Linked DNA regions of Kluyveromyces lactis. The protein of the gene in region 4 interacts with the protein of the main gene of each other region in a pairwise test. Links are inferred from orthologs where the notes say so. Each region holds a gene or a part of one and is shown on either strand. Other genes may lie near its edges. The genes, in order: NOP1, IMP4, NOP14, ENP1, UTP21 and UTP22.

Region 1 (4,427 bases), on a different chromosome or scaffold from region 4:
CTCATTCGCGTTTGCATTGTATACTGATTTCTTTCGTTAACGATATCCGGAGGAATGTAATCCGCATCGTTATCGCTGAAATCACTATCACCAGTGCCTGACTGGTTGTAGCCACCCATAAACATAGCAGTAGCATGATCAATATGTCGCCGTAGTCTTCGCAGTTGGTTTGGATTCCTGTATACCTGATTCTGGAACGACCTGCCCACCGGAAGTTCATTCCAGGAAGCATCGACCTGTAACGTTTGACCTGCCGGGAGTTGCAAAAGTACGGGTCTACCAGATTCCTGGATACGCTCTTCTACAAGCATTAAATCATCATCCCCTTCTCTATGATCCACAACCACAGTACCATTGTTGGAAGCCCTGTAGTTGTCCAGATTGATGTACTCTGCATCATCATTTATTGGCCCATCAGGTCGCAAGGAAACCTCTGCAGTTATCTCCAAATCTTCACCATCTGTTGACACTGGCAAATCTGTAGCAGGAGCGATAGGAGCCACATTTCTATCCTCTGCGTTGGAAACAAATCTTGACAAATGGTCTCTGGGTCTATTCCTTCTGCGATCTGGAATCAATCGCCTTGGTGCATATTCTTCCCTGATTTGAGCATCTAGCTCTGGATCACTATCGATCTCTATAACACACCCTTGCTCCGTCATCACAAGGCTTTCTACCTTACTAATTACTGTTCCAGCTGTACCAGATACCTATTTTAAGGATCTGGCTCTGAACTCTTCCGATACCTTTGTATACTTTTAGCTTATTTCAAAGGTTTACTCTTAATATCAAAACCACTGTTGTCTTAAATATCATAATTATTAATTTCAAGAACTTTTCTTTACTTTTGTCTCAATTTGATGTCGATTAAAGATAAAAGAAACAAAGAGTTTGTCAACAGATGCACAGATGGACCGTATTATGGTATCGTAACCCGTATGGGGTTATATCCTTTAATTCACTGCTACCAGACATGATTTTCTAGAACGTATGGTTGTTATTGATATATATAAGTTATATATAGTATGTGATAATAATAATAATATATCTACAAATTAAATGTACAAAATAAGGTTAAGAGTGTTCGAGTATTAATACCGTTATTGTGAAAATGGGTTCTTTTGTATTGTCAAGTTGATGAACAAGGTTTTGAAATCTTCTTCTATTCTTTTCCCGTCAGTTAGTCGATCTCCTTTGAACAGGCGAAGGACCTGGACTGTAAGTAAAAGAAACACACAGAGTGACAAAATACAAGTGAAGACGAAGTGGAGACTTTTCTAGTTTGTAGAACTTTATCACGAATCAATGAGATGCAAAATTTCAAATAATATTATAGTGTTAATGATTGTATTGGAATGAAGGTTTTTAAAACTAAAAAGTAAGCAAAAAAAGATTAGAAGCCAAAAAAAAAAGATTAATAGAAGGAATCATGAACCAAGTAGGCATACTCTAGCATTGGTTTCAAAATATCAATATTTCTTTAGCAGCTCTTATAATCCACTTCTCATGTATTTACCGATAACGATACAATGGTCTCTTTCATAAGGTTCCAAAGTCAATTGTTCCAAAGGCTTAATCTTTTCTTCTCTCAATTTTTGAACTTCTCTAGCGAACACAGTTTCAGCATCAACAGTAGAATCGATACAGTTAGCCTTGATAGAGATAACGACACCACCTTGATCCTTCAAGAACATATGAGAGTTCAAAGCAATAATACGGGCTTGATCAGGTTGAGCAACATCTGCGAAGACGGCGTCAACCATACCGATAAGCATTCTGTATTTTTGTGGATGTCTAGCATCTTCAATAATTGGGATAACATTTGGTCTCTTCTTAGCCATAGAGATCAATTCTCTACCTGGTCTGTGAGAGAACTCAACAGCGTAAACCAACCCTTCTGGACCAACGACATCGGAAACGTGGGACACAGATGTACCGGAAGCAGCACCTAGATATAGAACCTTCTTACCTGGAGCAATGAATAGTTCATCCAAACCACCCATGATACCGGCAGCCAATTTGGATCTGAAAGGATTCCAAACACGGTATTCCACCTTAGTTGGTGGGACACCTTCTTCAGTGGAAGGTTCTTCAACTGAAACTCTCTTTTCACCGTACACAGATTCACCTGGAGCGATGTTCTTTGTGACCAAAAGATCTTCTTTACCTCTGGCAATAAAAACACCAGCATGCTTATGAGGTTCGATAACAACCTTAGCACCACCACGGGCACCACCACGAGCACCACCACGAGCACCACCACGAGGACCACCTCTGGAACCACCACGGGCACCACCAAATCCACCTCTGGAACCACCGCGAGCGCCACCACGAGGACCACCACGACCACCACCGAATCCACCTCTGGAACCACCACGGGAACCACCGAATCCACCACGGCCACCGCCAAATCCACCTCTGGAACCACCTCTGGAACCACCGCCGAATCCACCACGGGAACCGCCTCTGCCACCTCTAGAACCTGCTTGGAATGCCATTATTATTCTTAACTAGTTGGGAATTATCTGTCTTGAGATATAATGATTATGCTGCTGTTGCTGCTCTTGATCTTCTTCTCTCTAAATTGGACAAAGGAAAAAAAAAGAATTAAAATTGTGAATCAGTAACAGGTATTGTCGTTGACTTTGAAACAGAATCCTGGACGGCTGTAAAACTCTTCTAAAATGGGTAGATTATAGGAACAGAAAACGTACACAATACTATTCTATAAACAATTGATTACTTCTTTCAAGCAAGAACAACTTAATAAACTCTTACTTTACATTCGATGAGATGAGCTTTCGAAACTTTTTTTTTTCAGCTGAAAAATTTTGAATGAAAAAACAATATTAAATTTCTTTTTCAAAGTTCTCATCTTTGGTCTTTCTGTGCCTCTTGGTACGTACAGAACGATGAACGTTAAAGTCACATGACTATTGTCACATCTGTATCACGTGATATGAATTGATTATATAATCATATGAATCTACAACTTTTCAAGATTTTTTTTTGCTATGTTGAGCCAGATACTTGCTACAATGCGTACGTTTACTAAGGATTTCTATACAAGTTTTTCATAGTCAACATTGCGAAAATATGCAGATGAGATCATTTTTGGTTGTTGTTGTGAATATCGGTATCTTTATAAAAGCAGATAAAAAATCAGAGAAGTGGAACCAGCTTTGACTTTTGTACGTTATAGCAATCAGAATCTGAATTAGTATATCTGGATAAATTTTCTGGTTTAGTTTTGAGATCCTATTTTCCAAACTATCGCTGTATATTTTAATCCGACAGTTGAAGATATTACCTAGATAAGTGTCCCTTTATGTCTGCATCCAGTTCAATTTTTATTAAATCACGCTCAAAGAGCTTAAAAGACGTCAAGTTGGAAGTTCCAACAGAAAATACGTTGACATATCAATCTGTTTTGCAACAGATTTCGAAAAGCAATCACAATATTAGCGTTAACAGGTTAAGGTTAAGCTATCTGAAAGAAGGTAAGCAAGTCGCCATTGGGCCCTCTGAATTGAACGATGTTGGTAAGAAAAACACGTTCGATTCAGTTAACGAGTGGTATGTTAAGGATTTGGGTCCGCAGATCTCTTGGAGACTGGTGTTTTTCATCGAATATTTGGGTCCGATCTTGATCCATTCTTTAGTTTACCTTTTGTCTTTAAACGCAACAGTTAGGGACAAATTTCATTCTAAAAATGTTCCATATAACGATTTCTTCAATAAGTTCATCTACCGTCTGATTATGGTCCATTATCTAAAGAGAGAATTCGAAACATTGTTCATTCATTCTTTCTCCCTGGAAACCATGCCATTGTTCAATTTGTTCAAGAACTCTTTCCATTACTGGATCTTGAACGGGTTGATCTCGTTGGGTTACTTTGGTTACGGGTTCCCATTCGCTAACAAGACCTTATACAGAGTTTACAGCGCTCTCAAGATATCTGATTTCAGAGTCTTAACCGCTTTGTTTGGATTGTCAGAGATGTTCAATTTCTATATCCATGTCGCATTGCGTAGATGGGGTGATGAACAAAAGAGAAACGGTGTCACGAAGAGAGTCCCATTGAATTCTGGGTTGTTCAAACTACTTGTCGCTCCAAATTACACTTTTGAATCTTGGGCTTGGATGTTTTTCACTTTGTTGTTCAAGTTGAACTTATTCTCAGTTCTTTTCCTTGTTGTCTCGGTGGTTCAGATGTACTTGTGGGCTCAAAAGAAAAACAAGAAATATGGTACCAAGAGAGCATTCTTGATCCCATTCTTGTTCTGAATTCACCAATTACTATCACCACATACATATTTGACTTGGGGTATTATAGCATTCTCTCTTAAGTGAATAACGCTGTTTTACTCGTTTATTTACGCACTTGTTCTCTAACTTATGCCGTCAAAGCGTTGGCAACGTTTGT
Region 2 (4,194 bases), on a different chromosome or scaffold from region 4:
TACTAATACTACAAATGGACATAGACTGAGTACTTCCCCTTTAATGATCCCACATAACCCAAATAGTGCGTTGTTGCGCAAGAGTAACTTTCAAATAGAGTCCAGCGGAAGTGAATGTTCCGATGATGAAGATCCGGACCAACATCGCAGTAACAGCAACAGCAGCAACAGCAACAACAACAACAACAACAACAACAACAACAACAACAACAACAACAACAACAACAACAGAAATACACAGCATCGTGGTTTAGATCATGATGTATCTAGTGCAGGTACACTGAACACCCCACCAGTAAATCCTCAAGGACTTCGTTTATCACGTACTTCTACTCAGGGATCTGGTTTTAACAAAAAATTCTCTCCTCCAGCGTACAAGACAAGAGCGTACTCCAATGCTAGTGGAGTTTCACCGTACGCGAATAACTTCAGTAGAAGCTCCGTGTCAAGCGCGAATACCCATATACTGGATGATGTTTTTTATGATGAGCAACTTCAATCCAATACGGCAAGCGAAGTGGTGAAGAAAAAGTTGACTAACGAAATCTAACATTAAAAAGAAAGAATAAGGATGATCCATGAGCCATTCAGCGCGCTTTTAAATAGAAGGAAATTGCTACGTTTATCTGTTTTCAAGCAATCACTTGAATTTTCTGGCCAAGAACGGGTCATTTATTTTTTCCGTCTCTTCTTTGATACATCTTCTTCCCCTTCCCTTATTTTTTCTCTCGTTCAGCAACTCTTTCCCTTACCGTCTCCTCGGTACAGTCAATCGTTATAACTCTATTTTGAATTAACATTCTATTTTTATTTATATCGAAATGAGAAGGTTGTTATTCTTTTATGTTAATTTACTTACGGGTGTTTTCTTTTTCTCTTTCTGATTCTTTTTATCCTATCTATAAATACAGTGACTGAAACGCAGTTGCTTCATGCTCCAGGGTTTGCTAATATCATGTAATTGTGTTTAATTTTCCTGTATCTCCTCAAACAACATACCCTTTCCGTCGTTAAAACGAAATACGTTTGATAGAATTCTTTCCACTAGCAAAAATGTTATACTTTGCTTGATTTTATGGACATTATGATGGAATTGTCTTATTATGCTTACTATAATTATAAATAGTCCTTTCTACTAGCCGTTCTAACAAATCTTCTTAGTTGCCATTCTACGTCAGCATCTTTATTTTCTAATGTTCCTAATTTTAATTCGAACAATCTCATCTCGAACCTAGGTCCCACTTCTGCTAACTCCACACCTTCTCTGGTTTTCACATAAACATGTTGCCTAACGCTGATAAAATCTCCTCTGTTTGCAAACGTTATCACCCTTGCTGCATCTTTCTTTGGACCAGGTGGGAATAGGTGCTTTAAAATCGTCTCTACTCTCTTACCCAATGGTGTTGTGAAATTATCGAAGATTAGATGTGGATTTACTTCACTTTGATTCCCCGAATTTAAAATGTCATGTCTTAAAACGACGTTGTGTAATGTGAAAAATGCTGTTGGACCATGTGGGAAATGTGATACCGTTAGTGATGTAGGAACACCTCTATGTTCATGAAGAACAACCAAATCTGACGTTCCTGATGTTTGACAGGCATCGACAAGATTCGGCATAATGTAATTACCTCTGTTTAATCTTACCGCTGTTGGGAACAGTAATTTGATTTCTTTTGCAAACTGTGATAACCTAGTACTAGGGTCTCTAGATGTTGTCACAATAATCTTAGGTTCTGCGATACCGCTTGTTGCGCTGTACTCATCATCTATCTGTTCCTGAGCACTTTCATCGTATTGAAAATCTTTCTGTAGTTGCTCATCTTCAGCAATTTCCTTTGGTAGTGGTTTCCCCTGTGCTAACGCTTGCTTTATGATTTGGCGCTTTTGTTGTAGTTGAGATTCTTGTAGCTCTTGTGCTTTACGGTACAAGTATTCTCTTCTTTCACGAGCTTGCCTTCTTAACATCGTACTTCAATAATGTGTTGCTTGTATAGTACCAAAAAAGCGAATAGCTGATAATATACTATAATAATGCCTGTTTATAGTGACTACAGTACGTATATACACGATACTAGTCCGTCGTAAACAAAAATGTCCAACCAGCTAAGTTGTTCTTCAGCTCTAACGTCTCATCTCATCGCATCGTTCATGTAAAAATTTCAGCCTCAAAAAGAAATAATTATTAGAATAATACCAAATGGTCACGTGACAAAACCTTTATACAAATCCATAAAGCCAAATACGCTAAGAAACGCATTATCGTAACATCGGTTACATACAACAGACACTGTAATTGGTGACATATTAAAGAATTACTTGGTTGTCATTAAACGAGGTTTTATACAGTCTATCAAAGGTAATTAATATTTGTCGTGGATGATGTTTAGTAAATGAAGGAAATTACCTTCACTTCTTGACACATCTGCCATATGCTCTAGCGAAGCTTTCTTCTTCTGAGATTTCCATTCTAGTCTTGAGGAAGAAATTGTTTCTGTTTTTGGAAGGGATATCCATCGATTCACGTCTCGATGCTACCTTTTTGGCTATTTCAGTATCAAAATCTGATTGAAGACTTCCTCCACGTAATGCCATCCTTTGTTGGTGGACGTTATTAGGCAAAAACATATGGGTAGAAAGAGCAGTAGGTAAAATGGTCTGAGCAGCCGGAGGTGCATTCGATTCATGATAATACCGTTCTCTAGTAGTATCGCTTACGATACTACTAAAAGAGCCGAGTCTTCTGGAACGCTCAAATGCGACAGGAATTGGCTTTTGATGATCCAAAAGAGGTTTGTTCTGCCACGAACTTGATGGTGTCACAGAGCCCACAGCAACTATTTCCGTAGTTTCTGGAGCAACAGGTTGAGGCGGTATTTGAATTCCTGTTGGATTCTGATGTAATATGCAATTTTGATCGGTCTTCTTTCTCAGAGGCTTTTCCGATTGTTTATCCAAAGACTTTAAGACAGGTTTCTCAACAGCCTTTGCTGAAGATGTTGCTTCAGAAACATATAGTGGTCTTTTGAGCAAATCCTCATTGGTTGTAGTGTATGCTTTATCCTCTGGATCAACTTGTGACTTGGTTTGTTTCTCTTGCATGAATAGACCAGACAACAAACTTTTCTTCTCTCCGGATTCTTTTGAAGGCACTTGATGAACATTATTGTTTTGGTGTGTCTTTGAGAACATCAGCTTATCCCATTGGTTTTCATAATATTGATCATTATCTTCTTCTTCATCGTATATCTCACTATCATCTGAAAGAGAGTCCCAATCAGATTCTTCGTCCTCACTACTAAAGAACATATTCTTGTGATCTTGTCCGGCATGCACATGCGCTGCATTACTTATAGTACCAGACGTTCCAGATTTGGTGCCATTACTAGATGTATGAGCGATATTGTTGGCAACTGATGACGTTCTCGAGGAATGATTCATCTCATTTGATTTGAGGTTTTCAGCAGATCCATTGGCAGATGAATTAGTAGATCCATTGGCCGGGGTGAATGGAGTAGGTTGATTTTTCGCAAATAATGATTTACTAGATGGGTTTCTACTGAACAAAGAAGTCTGTGAGTGAGCATTTGACTTTGTTTCCGATAAAGGCACATGATTTGACACCGGGGGTTCTGATGATGATGGTGGTAAAGGTAATTGTTGTTGATGGTTCTTCGGTACATTGACCAATTCAGGAGAAATAGCGAATTTCTTCTTTGCCAAATCTTTCCGTAGATCAGGGGTGTTTGCCTGGGACCTTGATGGAACCTCCATTTTCGTCGGTAGAGGTTCAGGTGAAGAACACACAGGTGATATCAGTTTCTTCGAAATTGAGATATGAGGTCTTGTTGACGTAATATGCGTATTAGCAGTCGATTTCGGTATCGAGGCCCCACTAGAGATTGGTGTCAACAGCGCAGATGATGAACCGGACGATGTCGCCGAGGTGGAAGCTGCAGTTACCATTGTAGTTGGAGTCTTTGGTGACGCCGGTGTCACAGCTTTTGGTTTCTGCAGCTGTTGCTGCAGTTGTGGGAATAAGTGCGTTTGCTTTATAGGATTAATAACGTGATATAGGTTCCGTACACCATCCCGTCTCTTTGACTTGTTGATATTCTGATCTTTCAACAACGACTTATTAATGATCCTCCAACTAAGGTTATGCAGCCGTTCTCCTTGCTCCATGAATTTGCT
Region 3 (5,630 bases), on a different chromosome or scaffold from region 4:
AACTATTCCATGGCAAAGTGTGATTCAACAACTAGTATTACTTAAGGATCAGAATGCGATCACAGCAAATGCTACCGAAGTCAAAGCAAAAAACAGGTTGAGTGCGCATGACGTGGCTAATCGAATTATGCGCAAAGAGAATTTTGTCATTGCACTATATGATAACAATATTCTTGACTTATCCCTACCAGTACCTCTACTAAGAACATGTGCTCTTACCAAGACGCTCGAATGGAACATAAATCTTTGTATTTTAGGTTTTGCATTCAATGAGAAGGGCTATTTAAAGCAAGCTTTCTTAAGAGAAAGCCAGAGAGAATACCTGGGAGAGGAGTTAAAGAAGAGGTTTGTTCTTGCTGGATTCTTGAACATTATCTTATCCCCATTCTTAGTAACATACTTTGTTCTATTGAACTTCTTCAGATATTTTAATGAGTACAAAACCTCCCCAGGATCAATAGGTTCTCGGCAATATACTCCTATTGCTGAATGGAAATTTAGGGAATACAATGAATTATATCATATTTTCCAAAAAAGAATGAGATTGAGCATGATAATAGCGGACAATTATGTCAATCAATTTCCCAATACATTATTAAGCTTGACCTTAAGCTTTATACAGTTTGTTTCCGGTTCTTTTGTGGCAATCTTGGGTATTCTGACAATATTTGATCCAGACAATTTCTTAAACTTCGAAATTACACCTGACAGAACTGTTTTATTTTACATGACTGTTTTTGGTACTTTATGGGCAGTTTGTCACAGTTCTATCAACGATGAGTATACGGTTCTCAAACCAGAGGAAACACTGGAGGAACTTGTGTCGTATACACACTACGCTCCAAAGGAATGGAAGGGGAAATATCATACAGAGGACATCAAAAATGAGTTTTGTAGGCTTTACAACTTGAGAATCACATTATTACTAAGGGAACTAGTCAGCATTATAATCACTCCCTTCATATTATGGTTCTCCCTGCCAAAGAATTCAGAAAGAATAATAGATTTTTTTAGAGAATGTACCGTCTATGAGGAGGGGTTGGGATACGTGTGTAAGTACGCAATGTTTGAAGCTACTAAAATTGACAAAGGTACCAAGGCCAAAAAACAAACTAAGAGAATGTTTTCCCAAGCAGAACAGGATGATAGTGAAACCGAATCGGATGAGGGTGTTAACAAAATGCTTCAGTCATATATGTACTTCGTTGACGATTACAAGAATGCAGGCAATGCAGTGGGCAAAAATCAGCTACCAGCTTCTCCAATCGAGCCATCTTATCACCCATACAGCTCTACTAAAGACTATTCCTGGAAGACACAATTTGCCTTAGGTAAAAACTCCAATCGTAAGAGAAATCTTAATCGATCAAGGGTGAAGAGATTCCCGGATCGTAGTTCGGACCTTGAATTAGGCTCATTGAGTGGTTCACTTATCAACAAATCTACCCTTTTTAAGGATGATATTGCTGATAATGCTGACGAACTGAAGGCGGGAAATGGTGTTATGGGCCTATTAAACCAATATTACAAAAAATCAGATCGCAATCGATGATAAAGTTTATTAATGTTGAGTATAGATTATATAATATGCAGTTAACGTTTGGTATTACGGAGCTTCTTTTCACGCTCATATTTGTTTTTCTCAGCACCTTCTTCAGTACTGATTTGATTGACAATACGTGCCATCTTGGAATGGTAATCGGCGTACTCCTTCTTCTTTTCTTCAATGCCTTGTCTTGCCTCGAATCTAGTGTCTTTACGTATTTCTTTCATAGTGAACTTACGTTCCTTCTTCAATTGCGCCTTCATCTTGTTCAACTCACTTCTGGTCTTATCTGGATCATACGACTTCTTATCTGGGTTGAAGTTCTCTTCGAATTTAGGCGTATTTGATGGAATCGCCAGTGGTTTATGCTGTTGCAACGTCAATGGCAGACGTTCTTGGAATTTCAATAGCTTTTCGATCTTTTCCACTAATTGTTTTGGTTTAGAAGTACCAGGATATACTTCGGCAGCCACGTTTAGTATGTCTTTGAAGGGATTAATGATTTCTGGGAAGGCAGTAAGATCTTTCCAGATGTTCGTTATGCACCAATCAATTGATTCTAGATTGTTGACCAGCACGGACAGTTTGATAGATTCTTGCTTTTCTAGATCCTCGGAAAATAATGAGTGTAATTCTAAAGAAGGGGCGACCTTGGACCAGTTAATATCCGAGCCTACTATTGATAAATTGTCCTCCTGTTTTTCTTTGTTTTCTAATGTTTCCCCTTTGGTACTCGGTATTAGAGAACGCAAAGATGTCTGCAAGAAGTATGTTAACTCAGGAATATAACGCTTGCTTATACGTTGATACTGGATGGCGATTCTAACCAGTATCGAACCAAATATTAATTTTTGAAGAGAATTGAACCTAATTTGTTCCAAAAACTCTGCAATTAGAAGCAGACAGGGAGTAATGACTAAATGATAGTGATCCGAAGTGGAGAACAACATACCAACAACAGAGAAAAATACCAAATCTGATGGAGATAGTCCATAGAACTGGGATTCTTTGAATCTAGTCTGAATATCTGAGATGATATTTCTACAATCCTCTGATAGTGGAATGGTAAACTTTTCTGAAAGAGTCTTTAGAATGCTTACTAGTTCGTTTTGTAATGATGCAATTTCTTTCACATTAACCGAGTAATCTTCTTCAGCCAAGAAAAGTATATGTCTGAGCAAAACAGCAGTGAATTTGCCCAATTTTTCTTTGTTTCCCTCAGCCAATTTTGGTTGGTATGTTTTTACTATTCTTTTAACTAAAGATGGATGCTCTTCGATAGGATAAGATTTCAAGAAATTTAGTAAGTCATCGTGAATTTGAGGACATGGAACAGAAGGTATAACTCTTGCTGAAGGTCTACCATTTGATGTAGCGTCGTATTCATTGTCATCATTGTTATCCTTCTCGAAATCAACGTCGTCATCCGAGTCAGGAATTGCTTTGATATATTCACCATATTCGCCCTCCTCAGAGTCGCTATCTTCCCAAAACTCTTCTCCCAAATCTTCAACACCAGCATCTTTTTGATCTTCAATGTTGAAAATACCGTTCATACGATCAAGCCTTTTCTGCTCCAATTCCTTTTGTTTGTCCTCATATTCTTTCTTAATCTCTTCATCTGTTTTAGTTCTATCTGCAGGGGCAGCTCTTTTCTCCAAGACTAACTCTTTCACCTTGATATCATAATCTGGAGCGATGTCTGTGGAGGTCGAAATCTCAGTTTGAGAAGGTTTAGTCTTTGGTAACGTCCTTAATTCAGACATAATGCTTTCGAAATCGTCATCAAGGCCTTCGATATCTTGGACCAATTTCTCCTGCGCCTTTTGTCTTTCATGTTTGTAAAATTTGGATTTAGCAATGACCTCTTGCATGACTTCTGCCTTAGTCTTCTTTCTTGCTGGCTCTTGCAAAGCGTCATCACCTAACCCTTCATCTCCGTATTGATCCGCCATATTTCTTTTACCAGCTTGTTTCAACCTGAAGTCCTCCGAATCAGAATGCTGTAACCCCAAATCACCTTCATCGAAATCATCTTCCAAGGAAAGAGACTTACCATAATGAGTCAACTTTTCACCGTACACGTTTTCATCCTCACCACCATCGCTATCGTCTAAATTGAATAACGATCTTTTCGTCGAAGATTGACGTTGTCTTTCCTTTGTGAAACGTTCCAACATGATCTCCTCGGAAGTCAAATTCTTATCCTTTTCACCAAAACGTTTATCTAAGACACCACCGCTTCTGTTCTTGCTGGACTTCTTGGCTTCGTAGAACATTTTACGTTGATCTTCACCGGCTTGTTTAGTGATTCCCGGCTTACCTACTGCAAGTTTAGCTGCAGATTCCCTCATCACACCAACCTTTTTATTACGATTTGTTTTCACATCAAACGGATTAAACTGTTCCCTAATTCTTTCAATAGTCTTCTGTCTTTCTTCTCTATCAAACTCCCTGGGAGATTTGCCCTTCTTCTTAGAACTCTTCTTGACATTGGTCTGACCAGTCAACCCATTAGCCTTTAAAGCGGCCTTCAAGTTCTTCAACTGTGAACCACCCATTATTATTCGACTTTGTAACCTATTTGCCCACAGACAAGAAGAATGGTCTAAACACAACTGATGATGCAAGTCAATTCAATACAATCGGCCAAGATACTGAACCTTCTGACAGCCTTTGATTTAATCCCATCTCATCTCATCTCATCGCTCAATTCATCTTCTGTCAAACTTTTAATGCTTTTTCACCGAAAAGAAAGAAAATAGTTACCCGCACAATAAAATCAAATCAAGGTTACCCGAATATCCAGCACAATCATTACGAACGATGATGAAGTCACGTTTTTCTAAGATTCGATTGTTACTGTTACTGAGGAAGCTTTTACCGTAGCTTGTCATTTTAAAGGCATTATGAGAAATAAAGGAAATCAGTTACAGGTGGCAAATATATACGAAATAACCGCGAACAGAGGTACAGCAGGTTACAGTGTCGGTTCTGAGACTGTAAGTTTGTGTGGTTTGAATACAGGACGGATACAGAGAAATTGATTGTATTGCATTTCGGTTTAAGTTGAGCAGGCAGAGCAAAGAGAAAAGAGTATAAATTATATCGTAAAATATGTCCAGAGACGCTCCAATTAAGGCAGAGAAAGATTATACCGAAATCTTGGACGCTGAATTTCCTAAGCTTGAGATTTTGGCCAAGAATGATTATTCCAGTGCTTTGGATCAATTGTTAGTGTTGGAAAAGAAGACTAGACAATCTTCTGATTTAGCATCTTCGAAAAGAGTCTTGACTAAGATCGTAGATGTTTTGGTCGCAGCAGACCAATGGGACCTACTTAACGACCAAATCATGCTTCTATCAAAAAAGCATGGTCAATTGAAGTTATCTGTGCAGTATATGATTCAGTCTGTGATGAAATATTTGGAAGACCTGAAGGATTTGGACACCAAGATTAAAACTATTGAGACGATAAGAACCGTGACTGAGAACAAGATTTTCGTGGAAGTTGAAAGAGCTAGAGTCACTAGAGATTTGGTTCATATCAGAAGATCTGAGAACAAGATCGATGAGGCCACTGACTTGTTATGTGAATTGCAAGTGGAAACGTATGGGTCCATGGAGATGTATGAAAAGATTGAATTTATCCTTGAACAAATGGAATTAAGTATCCTAAAAGGTGATTACTCTCAAGCCACTGTGTTGTCCAGAAAAATATTAAAGAAGACTTTCAAGAATGAAAAGTATGCAGCATTGAAATTAGAGTATTATAACCTTTTGGTAAAGATTGGCTTGCATAAGAAAGATTACTTAGAAGTGGCTCAGTACTACCAAGAAATCTACAACTCTGATTCTGTGAAGGCAGATGAAATTCAATGGAAGGCAGCTCTATCCAGGGTTGTATACTTCTTGATTCTATCGCCATATGATAACCTACAAAATGATCTCATTCACAAGGTTCAGTTGGACAACAATCTAAAGAAATTGCCATCCCAAGAATCCTTGGTAAAACTCTTCACCACAGCAGAACTAATGAGATGGCCAATAGTACAAGATACCTACAAAGAAATTTTGAACCAGG
Region 4 (4,494 bases):
CTTTCGCTCTTTCAAGATGACGAAGACCCTTTTTACCATTATCTTATATCTACAAAACTGGCCACAAACTTAAATACCGTGAGAAAACTGGCTATAAAGGATAACTTGGATGATCCGTCTTCTGATGCTATTGATAGATACCAGAAAAACTTTAGCAGACTAGAGGAATCGGTTAGCTCTATCAGTTTCTCCAAAGCTTCTAAGTTGCAACAGAAATATGATGCATATCAGGAATCTCAAAAGAAAAGGCGATATAGTGTTGATTTCGATGCAACGCCCGACGTGCCTATAGGAGATGAGGACGATGTTGATATAATATCCAATGTTGAAGCAATTAATGACAACGATTCTTTGAAGGAGCTCCGCCAAAGGCTTATGGGTAAAAGAAGGGACAGCGCTGATACGGAGGGTGAATCATTTGACAAACAAATGCAAATTCAGGATGATCTTCAGAAGGAACTGGTTGAAGACATGTCCCAGCTAGTTTCAGGCTTAAGACAAGGTGCGGAAGCTTTCCAGAATGCTATCGAACACGACTCTACTGTTCTTAAGGCAGCAGAAATCGGATTGCATGTTACTTCTAAGAGCCTTTCTTCACTCGGATCCAGATTGAAAAAGTATCACAATGAAAAAATTGGATTTTTAATGAAGTTAGGACTTTTATCGTTTATTATAATTGGTCTATTGGTCACCTATCTTGTAATAAAAGTATTTCCAGATTTATGAGTGTCTTCCGCTAAAATCTCCAAGATTTAGATAAAGGCTCTGCTTCACTCAAAAGCTTCAAAGTACAAAATAGACTCATGAATATTCGATGAAATTAATTGATACCGTTTCCACTTATCGAATAGATTGATTCTATTGATTGTCTTATCTATAATTGCATATTATACACTTGTTTAAAATTGACAGGCACTTATATTGTTATAGGACTATTGACTACAGAACATCAAACATTAAATCAGCTTTATTACCAACATCACTGACAAATTCTCTACTATCACCGGCTAATAATTCTCTTCTGATTTCAGGTCCAATTTCTTTGTGACCTCTTTGACGAACAGTTTCAAGTAGGAAATCTCTTTGATCTTGGGTAATATCATTCTTATAACGTTGAGCAAACGCTAAGAAAGCTTTATGCCATACCACAGGTAAGACTCTGACGGCATCTTGGCCTGTACTTCCATCAGTGACTTCTCTGAATCTCATGAAGTAGAAGACACATTCGTCAACAGTTTGATAAGGCAAAGCATACTTCTTCTCGAGTAGAATTTTGATGAAAACGGTGGTGGCTGGGGAAAAAGGTAATCTTAAAAGGTAGGACAATGCTGCAGCAGAATGAAGAGCTGGCACAGAGACCTTGGATAACACACTTGCAGCAATGGTAGCTTCTCTAACATTACAACCGGATTCCACAAGTGGGAATAAGAACCCTTTGAAAAAGGCAGCCGGTTTATACAATGATTTCTTTAATGCACGGTAGACATGGTAATTTAAGTTGTGATCTTCGTTAAATTCAATTTCTTCTCTGAAGCGTGGTAACAACACAGCTATAACGAATTTTTGGGCCTCTTTAGATGATAAGTTAGAAACAAAAAGTTTAGTACCTTCGTATATAGCATGCGGAGACCATTCCTCTGGATTAGTAACATAGAGAACATCTTGCCAGTTATTTAGAGAAGGCAAAACTTTGAATAGTTTGGGTAGTTTACCATGTCTCCAGGTCTGCATAATGGTACCAACGGCAAGGTATGCTTGAATCACCTTGGGTGGTAAGGCGACACCTTCTGTACGATCTACAGGTGCAGCTGGTTCCGCTACTGCAGAGGCATCACCTGCTTCTTCTTCATTATACTGTAGTTCCATCTCTTTTTCTCTAATAGAAGCCATAATCTTATCGGCAAGGTTATATGATCCATTGGCAGAGTTGAAATCAGCAGAAGTCTTGAAATATTGGTCAAACATTTCAGCATCTTCTTCGTCAATTTCTACCACTTCTTCCTCCTCGTATCCTTCGAAATCGTCTTCATCTTCCGGTTCAAAGTCAGATATGTTATTACCTTGAGCTTCCTCTTCCTCAGCTACATCATCTTCATCCGCATAGTTGGCCACACAGAATCTGTTTATTCCTTGGCTGGATGTCTGCAGAGACTGCTCGTCCTCTTCCTCTAATTCTTCCTGCTGTTCCCTAGCTAATTGCAAAATTTTTCTAGATTGCTGGGCATCGACAAATTCTTCATCTTCATGGCCTTTTTGATCCTTAGCATCGATCTTTTTCTTACCTTGTCTTTTCAACTTACCATGTTGAGAGTCAAGATCGTTCAATAAAGGATCGTGTCTCTGTTTACGACCGCTGCCACCCATTACTTTACCCATTTTCTCCGTAGAACAAATAAATCTTGTATCACTAGTCGTATTCTGAGCACTAAAGCAGACACTAATGAGTAATTTTGTGATTGTTATCTGCCATTTACCTCATCTCATCTCATCTCATCTCATCTCATCGCTTCTCATCTCATCGTTACTTATTCAAATCCCAAAAATTTTCAGTCAATGCACGGACAGAAAAAGAAAGGCTAGAGATACTCTGTTTAGAGAAGTCAAAGGTTCAATTAAATAACTCTGGAGCATTGGCAGCGGGATCGTCGTGATTGAAACAGATATGCCACAGCGTTGAACACAAATTCAAGCTACTGTAAACAGCCAAGAGCTATGTTCTTCTAATGATTACAGGCAAAGAATGTTGTTTGTTTTGCACGTGACTTTAAAATCTGGAAAGATTTTTCAACTGCAGCTTAGATTCGTTTTACGTATATATAATTAACAATGGATCAAGTGTAATGTGATCTCATATGCGTGGTGACACATTGCTGGTCTCTTGTTCACTCAAGCTTCTCCCTTGAGTTGTACTTATCGATTGATCAAAAACCAAGTGTTCATTTCCGTTTTTTTCGTTCCTTGCAATCTTAGCAAAGTTACAATTAACATTAGACTAGGCCCTTCCAATTAATCTTTTAATTGACCACCAGTTACTGAAGAAATCATGTCTAAAAGATCTTCTAGTGTAGCGAACACTCCAGTTAAAAGGAAGCATTTACACTCTACTTTGAATCATAAGTTTGTTAGCATCAATTCTCAAGATGATTATAAACATTTGTATAGATCTGTTGTTCCACTTGACATTTTTGTATGGGGAACTGGATCAATGTGTGAACTAGGCTTGGGTCCTCTAGCTAAAAACAAAGAAGTTAAGAGACCTAGACTCAATCCCCTTTTGCCCCGTGATGAGGCTAAAATTGTGTCTTTTGCTGCAGGTGGAATGCACACCCTAGCGCTAGACGCTGACAATAACATCTGGTCGTGGGGGACTAACGACTCAGGTGCTTTGGGTAGAGACACTAGCGGAGCTGTAGAAAAATTGAAAGATATGGATGCAAATGATAGTGATGATGATGAAGATGGTGACCTCAACGAAATTGAATCCACTCCAACTAAAATTCCTAGAGACTCTTTACCATTGGACGAATTAAGATGTGTACAGATTGCTGCCACAGACAATCTATCTGCTGCTCTATTTGAAAATGGTGACGTTTACGCTTGGGGTACCTTCCGTTGTAACGAAGGTATTTTAGGTTTCTACAGAGATGAGATTACCGTCCAGAAAACCCCTTGGATAATCCCTAACTTCTCCAAGAAAGCCAAGATTGTTCAAATGGCTGCTGGGAAAGATCATATATTGTTCTTGGATGAAACTGGTATTGTTTACGCCTGGGGTAATGGTCAACAGCAACAATTAGGTAGAAGAATTTTGGAACGTTCTCGTTTGAGAACTTTAGATCCAAGACCATTTGGGTTGGATAACATAAAGTATATTTCATCGGGTGAAAATCATTCATTTGCCCTTTCCACGGACGGTAAACTGTACTCGTGGGGTCTTAATCAATTCGGGCAATGTGGTATATCTACAGAATTAGAAGATGGGTCCTTGGTAAGTGTTCCTACTGAGGTCATTTTGCCAGAAGGAGTTGAAATCGATTCTGTTTCTGCTGGAGAACATCACACTCTAATATTGGCGAAATCTGGTGATTTATATTCTTGTGGTAGATTAGATATGTTTGAAGTCGGTATTTCAAAGGATAAACTACCTGAGTACACTTATAAAGATGTTCATGGCAAGGCCCGTTCTATTCCTCTTCCAACAAAATTAGAAGACGTTCCTTCATTTAAGGCCATCGCTGCAGGCTCTCATCACTCCCTCGCTATTGCCAAAAATGGTATAGTGTATTCCTGGGGATTCGGTGAAACTTATGCAGTTGGTTTAGGTCCTTCTGGAGATGATATTGAAACACCTACAAGAATCAAAAACACGGCCACTCAAGATCACAGCATTGTCTTCATTGGCTGCGGTGGTCAGTTTTCTATTTCTGGTGGTGTTAAATTATCTGACGAAGAAGCAGAAAAAAGAGCTGATGAAATGGATGATTAAAATTAATA
Region 5 (5,518 bases), on a different chromosome or scaffold from region 4:
TACGCTGCCGCAGAATTTTACCAATTCATCCAATGATTGGCCCTTGCGGTGATTGGTATCCCAATGTTGCAGAGCAGTCTTGATATTTTGATTTGTGTTATTAGAATGAATTACATCACCATGCACTCTGAATAAGATGGTAATATATGCCTCATATAACTCAAAGTTCTTGTTGGTAGCCAAACCTTGAGCCAAACTTTCAATGAACCGACATAGCTCATCAAATGGTTGAAAAGCTTTCAAAGAACGAATCTCCAAATCAATATTTGAGGGAGTCATCTGGACTAATTCGTCAAGGAATGCTGAATAATCGTTTTTCTGCGAACCTTCTCTAAGTAGCTTAGTGAAATCAGATTCGAACTGAGCACCAAGTTTTCCTGAAGGTTTGAATTTATTCAGTTCACTAGCAGCATTAGCTTTGGCAGCATTTCGCTCCTGTTGTAGTTTAGAGGAATCCAAACTCAAATTCTCAGCGCCTTCCCTGGCTGAAGCCTCATCGCCCACCTTATCTTTTGCAAGTTGTAAGAAGAATGGAGCCTGCTCTGGTTTAACTGGAGCCTCCTTTGGTTTCGAACGTTGTTTAATTATATCGAGATTGAGTAAGATATTCATCTTGTTCCTTGGTCCCAAAGAAAGAGTCAATAAATCTTTATCAATTTGCTCCATCGAGTCATATTTACCAAAGAGATCTTCGGAATCATCTTCCTCTGTATCAAAAGCCCCTTCCAAAAAGTTGGAACCACCATCTCCGGAAACGTTTGGAAGCATAACAGTGGCAAATTCTTCTTCGTCGATCTGTCTGGTTGATACTGAAATGAACTGAGCTCTATTAGCCCAGAGGGAAATACCATTACCAGATACACTAGTGGTAGCCAATAAGTCACCATTTGGTGAGAATTTAATGTTAGTGATGACATTTTCCACTTTCATACCGTCTATACATCCACCTGTTGGTAAATCCCAGGTTCTAATTGTGGAATCTAATGACGAAGAAACGATCCAACGTCCATCAGGTGAGAAGTCAAATGATGAAATTCTATTGGAATGCCCCCAGAGTTGACGGACCACTTTTTGAGTAACCGAATCTACGACAACAATGGAAAGGTCATCTAATGCTAATGCGAAGAGGTCAGATGATCGATGGTATACCATTGATGTTATAGGTGAATCCAACTTTAACTTTCCCAAAAAAGTGCTTTTGGAAAAGTCATAAAATCCGACAATACCATCTAACCCACATGACACCATCTTTCTGTTCATACCATCCATTGCAATACCAGTAACTGCCTTCTTATGTAAACGATAAACCTTTCTCTTCTGTCCACTTTGTAAGTTGTGAACACTAATACCACCGTTTGAAGAGCCAACTAAACCAAAGTTACCACATTGTGATATAGCTACGCTCTTCGCAAACCCCTCATCATTAGTTGGGATTGTCCACCTACCAACTCTTTTTGTTCTCGAGTTCCATGTTCTTGCAAACTTTTCCCCTTTATGAACCGTCAAGATGTTTTCCCATTGGCCTTGTCTGTTATTTTCGATGACTATTGATGTAATCTCAGGGAACTTCTCACCAATGGTGCTTCCACCAATCCTATTTCCATCTTTATTCTTATGCAGACGCTGCGATAATTCCTGCGATTGTGCATCTTTTCTTAAGGAAAACCCCCATAAAGATCTATCTTTTGAAGCAGAAAGAATGAAATGAGATTGATCGTCAGCAAATGCAATAGAGGATGGAGGTTGAGAGTGACCACCTCTTGACCTTAATAATCTGGCTGGTTGAATGACCACTTCAGAGTCACCTTGCGATAAGGATGGATCGAAAACAAACTCTTTTAACTGGTTGTCACCACCACAAGTGACAACGATCGGCTGACCGTTCAAGAATGATGCTCTTGCAACACCACCATTCACTTCCTTGTGAATGCCTTTTAACACTTGAACACGTGAGCGATGATCTAAGTCATAAAAGATCAAATCACCACTGGTTGATGCTACTGAGATATGAGAAGCACCATCCGTTCTGAAAGAGATTGAAGAAATTCTCGTCGGCGTTTTAATGGTTCTGATTTTCTTACCCTTACGCAAATTGAATAAAATAACTTCACCAGATGATGTACCAAAGGCAACGATGTCTAAAGCAGGTGCAGGTTCAGCAGTGGTGATCTCATCGGGGAACTCATCGGAAGTGTACAATTGTTTTCCGGTCCGAACGTTAAACAAGGTGAAATTAGACTTAGTCACAACGAGCAACTTGTTAACATATGTTGGTAAATGCACCAAATCAACAATATCACCACCTTGTAACTTACCAATGGTGAAATTGGTGTATAATTCAGTAGCGAATTTATCAGATGGGGAATTTTTCTTATAGATATAAACAACATTATTATCTGTAGAAGCAATCAAATATTCACCGAAAACGTTAATTTTGGTCACCACGGTATTTGGATCAGGTAATTCAATCAAATGTTCTAGCTTACCTCTCTTATAGATCCCAACTTTATTCTTAAAACTTGCATAAACGTAATGAAAATGCGCTGCCAAACAAGTAATGTCTCCCTCTGTCTCCTTATCTGAAACGAATAGCAGATGCAAATTATTGGCATCAAAGATCTGAAACGACTTACCAACAGAAGTCACAATGTAGAAGGTCGTACCTAGGGTACCAATCGCATAAGGAACTCCAGTAGATACATTACCTACAATTCTATACGGAGAAAATATTCTGGAAGCATGTTTCCTAACAGCGCCGGAAGAACCAACTCTTCGTTTCTTTAACGATCCATCCACTGTCATGATTGCTAATGCACTGTTCTGTGACTTTATGCAATCGCTTAATTAACTGAACAACAAGCGAATCCAGTAATTAGCTGCTGACGATAGGTATCTATCTCATCTCATCTCATCTCATCGCTTCTTTAAAACGTCGAGCTTCGAAATTTTCATCGCTGAAACAGAAAAAGAAATCAGAATATCACGTGACACATAAGGGGGATCAACCTGCAAATGTGATTCTTAGACTTGGATAGAGAAGATACTATGTAACTTCACCATTAGATGCCATTAGATAGTAACCATACCACAGTCTGAAATCTCACTAGCGAAACACATGGAGGTGTTGCTTAGATACTGGTCTTTACTTCAGAATTACTCACAGTTTTCTATCAAGTTTTCACTATTATCCTTCACATATAAATTTATATACAAAATTAAACACATGGGGAATAATCGTACCATGCATCCGCTTATAACAGAAATCGATTAATTGCAACGATCTACAAAATAATTTTAACTGAAGTTTCAGCATTGGTTATAATCAAATTGCAGAACTGCCAGTCATGTCTTCTCCAGGTTCAATTTCTGATGAGGGTCAAGAGGCAATCAACGGAAATACCATGCCTCCACTGTTTTTAGATTCGAATACGAAAAAGGCTATGGAATCGATCGCTCCTATCCTTGAAGGGTTCACGCCGAAGACCTCTTCTAGTGAGAATAAGTCGTTGAAGTTGCCACCTGCTGGTTTTACCTCTGATGATGATGATGAGACAAATAAGCTCGTCAGAACGCTTAGTATTTCTTCTACTGGTTCGACAGGTCGTCATATGACTCCCAGTGTCCTAGGCACCTCATTCGATAGCATGAATGGTAACAAGCTTCAAAGACTGAAAAGTAACCAAAGTGGATCAGCATCAGTTTCTGCTATTCTGGAAGGATCGCCTAGTCCATCTCCTATGCTGGAAGAACCTCATGCATTCCCCTTCATTCCGCAAGCATTAGTCTCTAATGAAGCTGTCACAACCAACACTGACGGATCAACAACTCCAAGTTCGACAAATTCTTCGAGGAAAGCTTCAACTTCCTCGTCCAAGCCTCAGCTACCAAAGATTGGTAAAATTGGTGTTTGTGCCATGGATGCGAAAGTGTTATCCAAGCCATGCAGACATATCTTAAACAGACTAATTGAACACGGTGAGTTTGAGACTATAATTTTTGGCGATAAAGTTATATTGGATGAAAGCATTGAAAACTGGCCTACTTGCGACTTTCTAATATCATTCTTTTCCAATGGGTTCCCTCTAGAAAAGGCTATCAAATATGTCAAGTTAAGAAAACCATATATCATTAATGATTTGATTATGCAAAAAGTATTGTGGGATAGAAGGTTGTGTCTCAGGTTGCTGGCGGCAAGCAACGTACCTACCCCTCCTAGATTGGAAATTACAAGAGATGGTGGTCCCAAAATTGATGATGAACTGAAATCTATGCTTGCCGAACGTGGAGTTATTGTTTCAACTGTTCAAGAACCCAACTGGAGAATGGTGGACGATGACACCTTGGAAGTTGAGGGTAAGGTGATGACCAAACCATTCGTTGAAAAACCTGTGGATGGTGAAGATCACAATATATACATCTATTATCATTCGAAAAACGGAGGCGGTGGGCGTAGATTATTCAGAAAGGTCGGTAATAAATCTTCCGAATTTGACCCTACTTTGATTCAACCTCGTACTGAAGGTTCATACATCTACGAAAAATTCATGGATACCGATAATTTCGAAGATGTGAAAGCATACACTGTAGGTGAAACTTTTTGTCATGCTGAAACCAGAAAATCCCCTGTAGTCGATGGTATTGTGCGCAGAAACACTCACGGAAAGGAAATTAGATATATTACTGAACTTTCTCCAGAAGAAAAAGAAATGGCTCGTCAAGTGTCGAAGACGTTCGCTCAAATGATCTGTGGTTTCGATTTATTACGTGTTGAGGGCAAGAGTTATGTCATTGATGTTAATGGGTTTTCATTTGTCAAAGATAACACAGAATACTATGATGCCTGTGCCAAAATTTTGAGAGATACCTTCTACAACGCCAAAAAATTGATGGACCTAGAAAAGCGGAACCTTCCTGCAATTCAAGAGGAGAAAACTCAAAAATGGGTATTTAAGGGGCTAGTTACTGTTATCCGTCATGCAGACCGTACACCAAAACAGAAACTCAAGCACTCGTTTACCTCTCCGATATTTTTGTCTTTATTGAAAGGTCACAAAGAAGAAGTAGTCATAAGAAATATCAATGACTTGCAAATTGTTCTGCAAGCACTCAAAATTGCACAAGAGGAAAATGCTGAAGATCCAGCGAAACTTGCTGTCTTAGCAAACGCTTTGGAAAAAAAAATCAGTTTTCCTGGAACTAAGATTCAATTAAAACCAGTTCTGAACAAAGACAACGAAGTGGAGAAGGTTCAATTCATTCTCAAATGGGGTGGTGAGCCAACACACTCCGCTCATTTCCAAGCTGAAGAATTAGGTGAGCAGATGAGACAAGACTTTGATTTGTTAAACAAGAACATCTTGCACAACATCAAGATATTTTCTTCTTCCGAAAGGAGGGTTCTAGTTTCGGCCCAAATATGGGCCACAGCTCTATTCGGTGCGGATGAAATTAGTAGCGACGAGATCAGTATAAGAAAAGACTTGCTAGATGACTCCAATGCAGCTAAAGACCTTATGGA
Region 6 (5,539 bases), on a different chromosome or scaffold from region 4:
TAAAAGGACTGTAATGGAATCATAACCATGTTGACTGACGGAACAAACACCGCTCGCATTTTTATTGTGATTTTGTCATTCATTTTAATGTTTAGGATACCTTCTCCCTCAACAGAAATTTCTTTCATTCCTGCTGCAAGCAATTTAGTTTTGGATTCATCTTTAAAATCATACAGCAAATTTTTGTTAGGAACCAACGCTACTGGTATTCCTGAAGCTAGCATGATGCTTTTGTCTTCCTTGAGATAAAAGCTTTTATGGTCAATGTTGCCTAAGGAGAACTGGATCCTCTCCGGCTGAATTATTATCGTCTGAAGATGTGTTCTTCTTAATGTAATTTGTCTTACCTTTCTTCTCGATTACATCATATTTTTATTGTAGTTCTTACCTGACTTTTTGTGCCTATTAGTACCATTGGAATCCTTGTTCCAATTGGTTCTGGAATTTCTTGGGTTTTCTTCCCTTATCTTCTTCGCTTAGATTCGCACGTTTTGACTTTACAGAGTTTCTAGATTCAAGACTCACCAAACTCAGTGCTGATGGTATGTCTAGTTTATTGTTTTTAGACAGTTCTTGGTTTACCATATATGATCTATCTGCAATAGCTTCCACTGTCATTTCAGTTAAACACTGTAACAGTGAATCTATATCACGGTATTTCTCACGTACATGGAATTTGTGATACATCTTAGTACGTTCTAACCATAATGTTTGTAGGTTTGGTGAAGTCTTATCTTTTTGCAGGTGCCTGACAGCTTCTTTCCATATGTCTATATTTTTATTCAACCTATCATAATCATTTAATAGATTGTATACTGCACTTTCAGGATTAAATCCCATGCCATAAGGTGCCATTTGAACCCATTCTGGACAGCATTCCTTCGGGACACATTCTTCCCAGAAGAAAACAATTGAATTTGATAATTCGTCGTTGTCAATTATATTTATGGACCAGTCATTGCTTTTGTTCGGGATAAAACTCTCTAGTCCCGCTAGTCTCAATTGTCCAATTAAACAGTAAACCCATCTGTTAAATTGGTCCTTTGACTTCACTTGTTGTAGATGAACAGACGTCTTGTCTTGGAACCTGGAAAAGTCATCAAAGCTTTATATTCGCTGTCACACGAGTTGTTATTCTTCTTGGAATAACTAAACAACAGACTGCTTCGATATCTGTATTCCCTATCAAACACTTCGTAAGTACTTCCTCCAAATATCTCTCTCTCGGGATCTAAGTCTGAGTATGGGTTAACATTTTTATCCTCTTTTAAACTCTGTTTAGGAGCACTACCATCACTAACGATATCGAGTCTTTGTATATCTTCACAGATACCTCTTGTCGGATCATTACTTCCTTGCGGAGACTCAGTGACGCTGCCATGTAGGTGATCCTGGTTGTCGCAGTCACAGTCACGTGTAATTAATTCAAAACCTTCGGTATCAGATGAATCCATAGTGTTTACTAGCTATATATAGCTAGTGTGTTGATGCACCTGGCGATCTGTCATGACTGTGTTGATGGTCTTTCCCCAGATCTATGGCCTCTTTATATAATAACTCAGATTGGTTAATGATGTTTCATGTTGATACTTGACCGTCTATTGTTTCTAATCCGTCTCAACAGATAACCCGCCGAATGATCTAAAAAATCTGTAAAATTTGTAATAGATTTCGTGCCTCCTTAGCTTAGTGGTAGAGCGTTGCACTTGTAATGCAAAGGTCGCTAGTTCAATTCTGGCAGGTGGCATTCATCTTTTTCAATATCCAATCTGACCTTCCTCGAATCTATTTTTTTTTTCTTAAAGTAACATTGTGCACTAAAACTAGCAATACGGTACGTCTAAAACCATGTATTCCCTATATTACTACATATCGGGATAGTACCAGTTCCAGCACTTGAGTTGGACTTGGCTTTAGTCCAGTATGACTCTATGTATCTGACTATCTAACTGATTATTCAGAGAGACTGAGATTGGACACGTCGTATAAAGTGACAGACGCATCAAAATCCTTCACATCGAATTTTGGAAAAATTTGCCAGGCGATGAGCTTTAAAGGTTTAAAGAATTCGCATTTACATAGAATGAACGTACCCATAGGCAGGTTTATCACAGTGATTTTGTTTGGATTTCCCTCGTATTAGTTTGCTAGATATTAAAAGGGTAATTCTCTTCTGTTTTGGCTAGGGGAAATTGAAACCCTAGGACTCGGGCACTGGCTATCATTCTGTATTATAATCAATCCAGAGGCGCAAACGGTCAGGAACTAGTGAATTAAGTGGATATTTAGTGAACTATGGCCTCTGTGAAACGTGTAGCACCAGATGGTGAGAAGTCCAGGAATGGTAGTTTCACCAAGAAGGCGCTTGTAAAAGCTATTACTGGCTCACAGGCTGAAAATGACAGTGACAAGACTGGTTCTTCTTCTTCTGGAGAAGAAGAAGAAGAAAGAGAGGAAGAGGCTACTGCCTCTTCCAGCGGGGAAGAAGACGAGGAAGAGGAAAACACACATGACCATAAGGCTAAGAAGCCAAAGTTGAGCTCCCAGGATATACAAATAGCGAGAGAAACGGCTGAACTCTTCAAATCGAACATTTTCAAATTACAAATCGATGAGTTATTGGAACAAGTGAAGTTGAAGGACTCACACATCGTAAGGGTGGAGAAGTTTTTGCATAAACTATATGATATGATACAGGAAGTACCGGAATGGACTCCGCAAAGCTTAGAAGATGTAGAGAAATATTTCCATGGGAAAGTGGTATCAGTTCCGTTTGTGGATCCAAAACCACAAGCGAAGAACACACAGTACAAATTCAATTATTTAAAGCCGGACGTGAGTTTAATTGGATCATTCGGGTTGAAGACTGCCATCTACCAACCTCAGGGCTCCGCAGTAGACGTTTTGTTGACTATGCCTGAGCAGTTGTTCGAAAAGAAAGATTTCTTGAATTTTAGATGTTTCCACAAGCGTTCAGTATACCTCGCGTATTTGACTCATCATATCTCACTCGTCCTGAAAAGAAGCCAGCTGGATTTCTTACACTTGGAATATTCATACTTTAACAACGATCCTTTACAAACGGTATTAAAGATAAGTTGTAAGGAGAAAACTTCATCGGACTATAATTTCTACAAGACTAAATTCAGCATAAACTTGATCGTGGGGTTCCCATACAATTTCTTCGAATCAAAGAAGTTGCTACCCAATAAGAACTGTATCAGAGTCGGTCAGGATAACGAAACTCCGACACCTTTCTACAATTTCTCGGTATTATCATCTTCTTGTCACGAACACTATTTGAAGTACTTACACAAATCAAAGAAACAAACAGAACAGTTTAAACAGGCTTGTATTTTGGGGAAGCTATGGTTATCTCAGAGAGGCTTCTCATCAAATATGTCTCATTCAGATGCGTTGGGTGGTTTTGGAAATTTCGAGTTTGCCACGTTGATGGCAGCCCTACTAAATGGTGGTGGGTTGAATGGTAACAGAATTTTATTGCATGGGTTCTCATCTTACCAATTATTCAAAGGTGTAATCAAATATTTGGCCACAATGGATCTTTGTACTGATGGGTACTTACAATTCTATTCCGACTATAGCACTACTGCAACTGTCACTTCCTCAAAATACGTTGAAGAAGGTTTCCAAACACCTACAATCTTTGATAAAACCACCAAAGTTAACATACTGAGTAAAATGTCTGTTAACAGCTATCAAATGCTAAAGATCTACGCGCAAGAAAGTTTATTGATGTTGAATGACGTCGTCAGAGATCAGTTCGAAAACATGTTCTTAACTAACTTAAACAAGATCAAGACAGTGAAATATGATGCTTACTATGATTTAGATATCCCATCCATCAATTTACTACTGTCCAAGTTCGGTCCCGTTGAAAAGATTAGCTTTATATCATTCGAAAATTTCATCTGCAATAAAGTATCGAACATCGTGAAGATTGCCCTTGAGGATAGAATCAAAGCTTTTGAAGTGGCTCTAGTTAACAATAGATCTACTTTCCCAGTAACAAAGAGAAAAGTTGCTGCTGTTCCAAATTTCACTTCAATCCAAATTAAACTGTTGATCAACCCTGCAGAATGTGAGAAGCTTGTGACTAAGGGCCCAGAGAACACAGAAGAATTAACTAATGAAGCTAATGAATTCAAGATTTTTTGGGGTAAAAAAGCATCTCTTCGTAGATTCAAGGACGGTTCCATTGCAAACTGCTGTGTCTGGTCAACTTCTGCTATTGAAAGTGTTGTTTCTTCGATTTTGTCCTATGTTCTAAGGCTACATTTGACTGAAGACTGCAAACTCATCAATAATTCCACTAGCCAATTCCAACAGTTGTTACCACTACCGAACCTACCTGCATCTTCAAAGACATCAGTTCTAAACCTATCAAGCTACTATAACTTGAAGAAGTCCTTTGACGATTTGTATAAAATCATGTTCGAGCTAAAACTCCCATTATCAATTAAATCTCTTTTACCTATTGGTTCTGCATTCAGGTACACATCATTATGTCAGCCTGTCCCATACGCATATTCTAATCCTGATTTCTTACAAGACGTTGTTATCGAATTCGAAACGTCTACAAAATGGCCTGACGAAATTACTTCGTTGGAAAAGGCTAAAGCTGCATTTTTATTGAAGATTCAAGAATCCATCACGCAGACTCATAGTGAGTACAAGTGCTACTTTACACGTGATGAATCGATTCCATACAACTTGGAAATAGTTACTCTAAACATTTTGACTCCAGAAGGATACGGTTTCAAGTTTAGAGTTCTAACTGAGAGAGACGAAGTTATGTATTTGAGAGCAATTAACAACGCAAGAAAAGAACTAAGACCAGAGCTGGAAAAGACATTCTTGAAATTTACTGCCAAGTACCAAGCTGCTATTAGACATACTAGAACTTTGGAAAACATTTCCCATAGTTACCCATTCTACTCTCCAGTGGTAAGACTATTTAAGAAATGGCTAGATTCTCATCTCTTATATGGCCATTTGTCAGAAGAATTGATTGAGCTTATTGCCATTAAGCCATTTGTAGAGCCACGTCCATTCACCATGCCAGGTTCCGTTGAAAATGGTTTCTTGAAGATCTTATTATTCCTCGCAAACTGGAATTGGAGGGAGGATCCACTAATATTAGATCTTGTCAAACCAGACGAATTTGGTGACCAAGAAACCAGTATCGGAGCATCAGATCTAGATTCATCTGTTTTAAAGAGACTCTCAGAAAAGTTGACTTTTGCACAATTCAAAACCATTCAAAATAACTTCCAACAACTAAGAAAGGAAGACCCACAAGGTTTACACACCCAATTCTTCGTTGCATCCAAGAACGATCCAAGTGGAATCTTGTACTCTACTGGAGTTCCTCTACCGATTGCCACCAGATTAACTGCTTTGGCAAAAGTAGCCATCAATCTAATCCAATCCCATGGATTGAACAAACAAACCATCGAATTACTATTCACACCTGCATTAAAGGATTACGATTTCGTCATCAAGCTCAAGATTCCTG

What was found.
Region 1: the proteins of ENP1 (region 4) and NOP1 interact in binary tests that used the Saccharomyces cerevisiae proteins (3 or more experiments, as listed by UniProt). The link is inferred for Kluyveromyces lactis from reciprocal best matches to the Saccharomyces cerevisiae genes ENP1 and NOP1.
Region 2: the proteins of ENP1 (region 4) and IMP4 interact in binary tests that used the Saccharomyces cerevisiae proteins (3 or more experiments, as listed by UniProt). The link is inferred for Kluyveromyces lactis from reciprocal best matches to the Saccharomyces cerevisiae genes ENP1 and IMP4.
Region 3: the proteins of ENP1 (region 4) and NOP14 interact in binary tests that used the Saccharomyces cerevisiae proteins (3 or more experiments, as listed by UniProt). The link is inferred for Kluyveromyces lactis from reciprocal best matches to the Saccharomyces cerevisiae genes ENP1 and NOP14.
Region 5: the proteins of ENP1 (region 4) and UTP21 interact in binary tests that used the Saccharomyces cerevisiae proteins (3 or more experiments, as listed by UniProt). The link is inferred for Kluyveromyces lactis from reciprocal best matches to the Saccharomyces cerevisiae genes ENP1 and UTP21.
Region 6: the proteins of ENP1 (region 4) and UTP22 interact in binary tests that used the Saccharomyces cerevisiae proteins (3 or more experiments, as listed by UniProt). The link is inferred for Kluyveromyces lactis from reciprocal best matches to the Saccharomyces cerevisiae genes ENP1 and UTP22.

What each region holds. Positions count from the first base shown.
Region 1 is NC_006039.1:399,492-403,918, reverse strand, and holds NOP1 (rRNA methyltransferase NOP1), read right to left. Parts: upstream 2,499-4,427; coding exon 1,491-2,498; downstream 1-1,490. Other genes in the region: SUMO-targeted ubiquitin ligase complex subunit SLX5, read right to left, coding at 1-662; trans-2-enoyl-CoA reductase (NADPH) TSC13, read left to right, coding at 3,329-4,288.
Region 2 is NC_006041.1:700,077-704,270, forward strand, and holds IMP4 (snoRNA-binding rRNA-processing protein IMP4), read right to left. Parts: upstream 1,969-4,194; coding exon 1,117-1,968; downstream 1-1,116. Other genes in the region: KLLA0_E07811g (uncharacterized protein), read left to right, coding at 1-550; MKS1 (Mks1p), read right to left, coding at 2,410-4,194. UniProt on the Saccharomyces cerevisiae protein: Required for the early cleavages at sites A0, A1 and A2 during 18S ribosomal pre-RNA processing.
Region 3 is NC_006039.1:1,426,228-1,431,857, reverse strand, and holds NOP14 (snoRNA-binding rRNA-processing protein NOP14), read right to left. Parts: upstream 4,108-5,630; coding exon 1,594-4,107; downstream 1-1,593. Other genes in the region: autophagy protein ATG9, read left to right, coding at 1-1,552; proteasome regulatory particle lid subunit RPN5, read left to right, coding at 4,664-5,630. UniProt on the Saccharomyces cerevisiae protein: Involved in nucleolar processing of pre-18S ribosomal RNA. Has a role in the nuclear export of 40S pre-ribosomal subunit to the cytoplasm.
Region 4 is NC_006042.1:636,493-640,986, reverse strand, and holds ENP1 (snoRNA-binding rRNA-processing protein ENP1), read right to left. Parts: upstream 2,377-4,494; coding exon 940-2,376; downstream 1-939. Other genes in the region: SNAP receptor USE1, read left to right, coding at 1-726; SRM1 (Ran guanyl-nucleotide exchange factor), read left to right, coding at 3,044-4,486. UniProt on the Saccharomyces cerevisiae protein: Required for normal export of the pre-40S particles from the nucleus to the cytoplasm.
Region 5 is NC_006038.1:251,731-257,248, reverse strand, and holds the start of UTP21 (rRNA-processing protein UTP21), read right to left. Parts: upstream 2,803-5,518; coding exon 1-2,802. Other genes in the region: inositol polyphosphate kinase VIP1, read left to right, coding at 3,345-5,518. UniProt on the Saccharomyces cerevisiae protein: Involved in nucleolar processing of pre-18S ribosomal RNA and ribosome assembly.
Region 6 is NC_006040.1:1,245,696-1,251,234, forward strand, and holds the start of UTP22 (rRNA-processing protein UTP22), read left to right. Parts: upstream 1-2,295; coding exon 2,296-5,539. Other genes in the region: KLLA0_D14762g (uncharacterized protein), read right to left, coding at 1,050-1,454. UniProt on the Saccharomyces cerevisiae protein: Involved in nucleolar processing of pre-18S ribosomal RNA and ribosome assembly.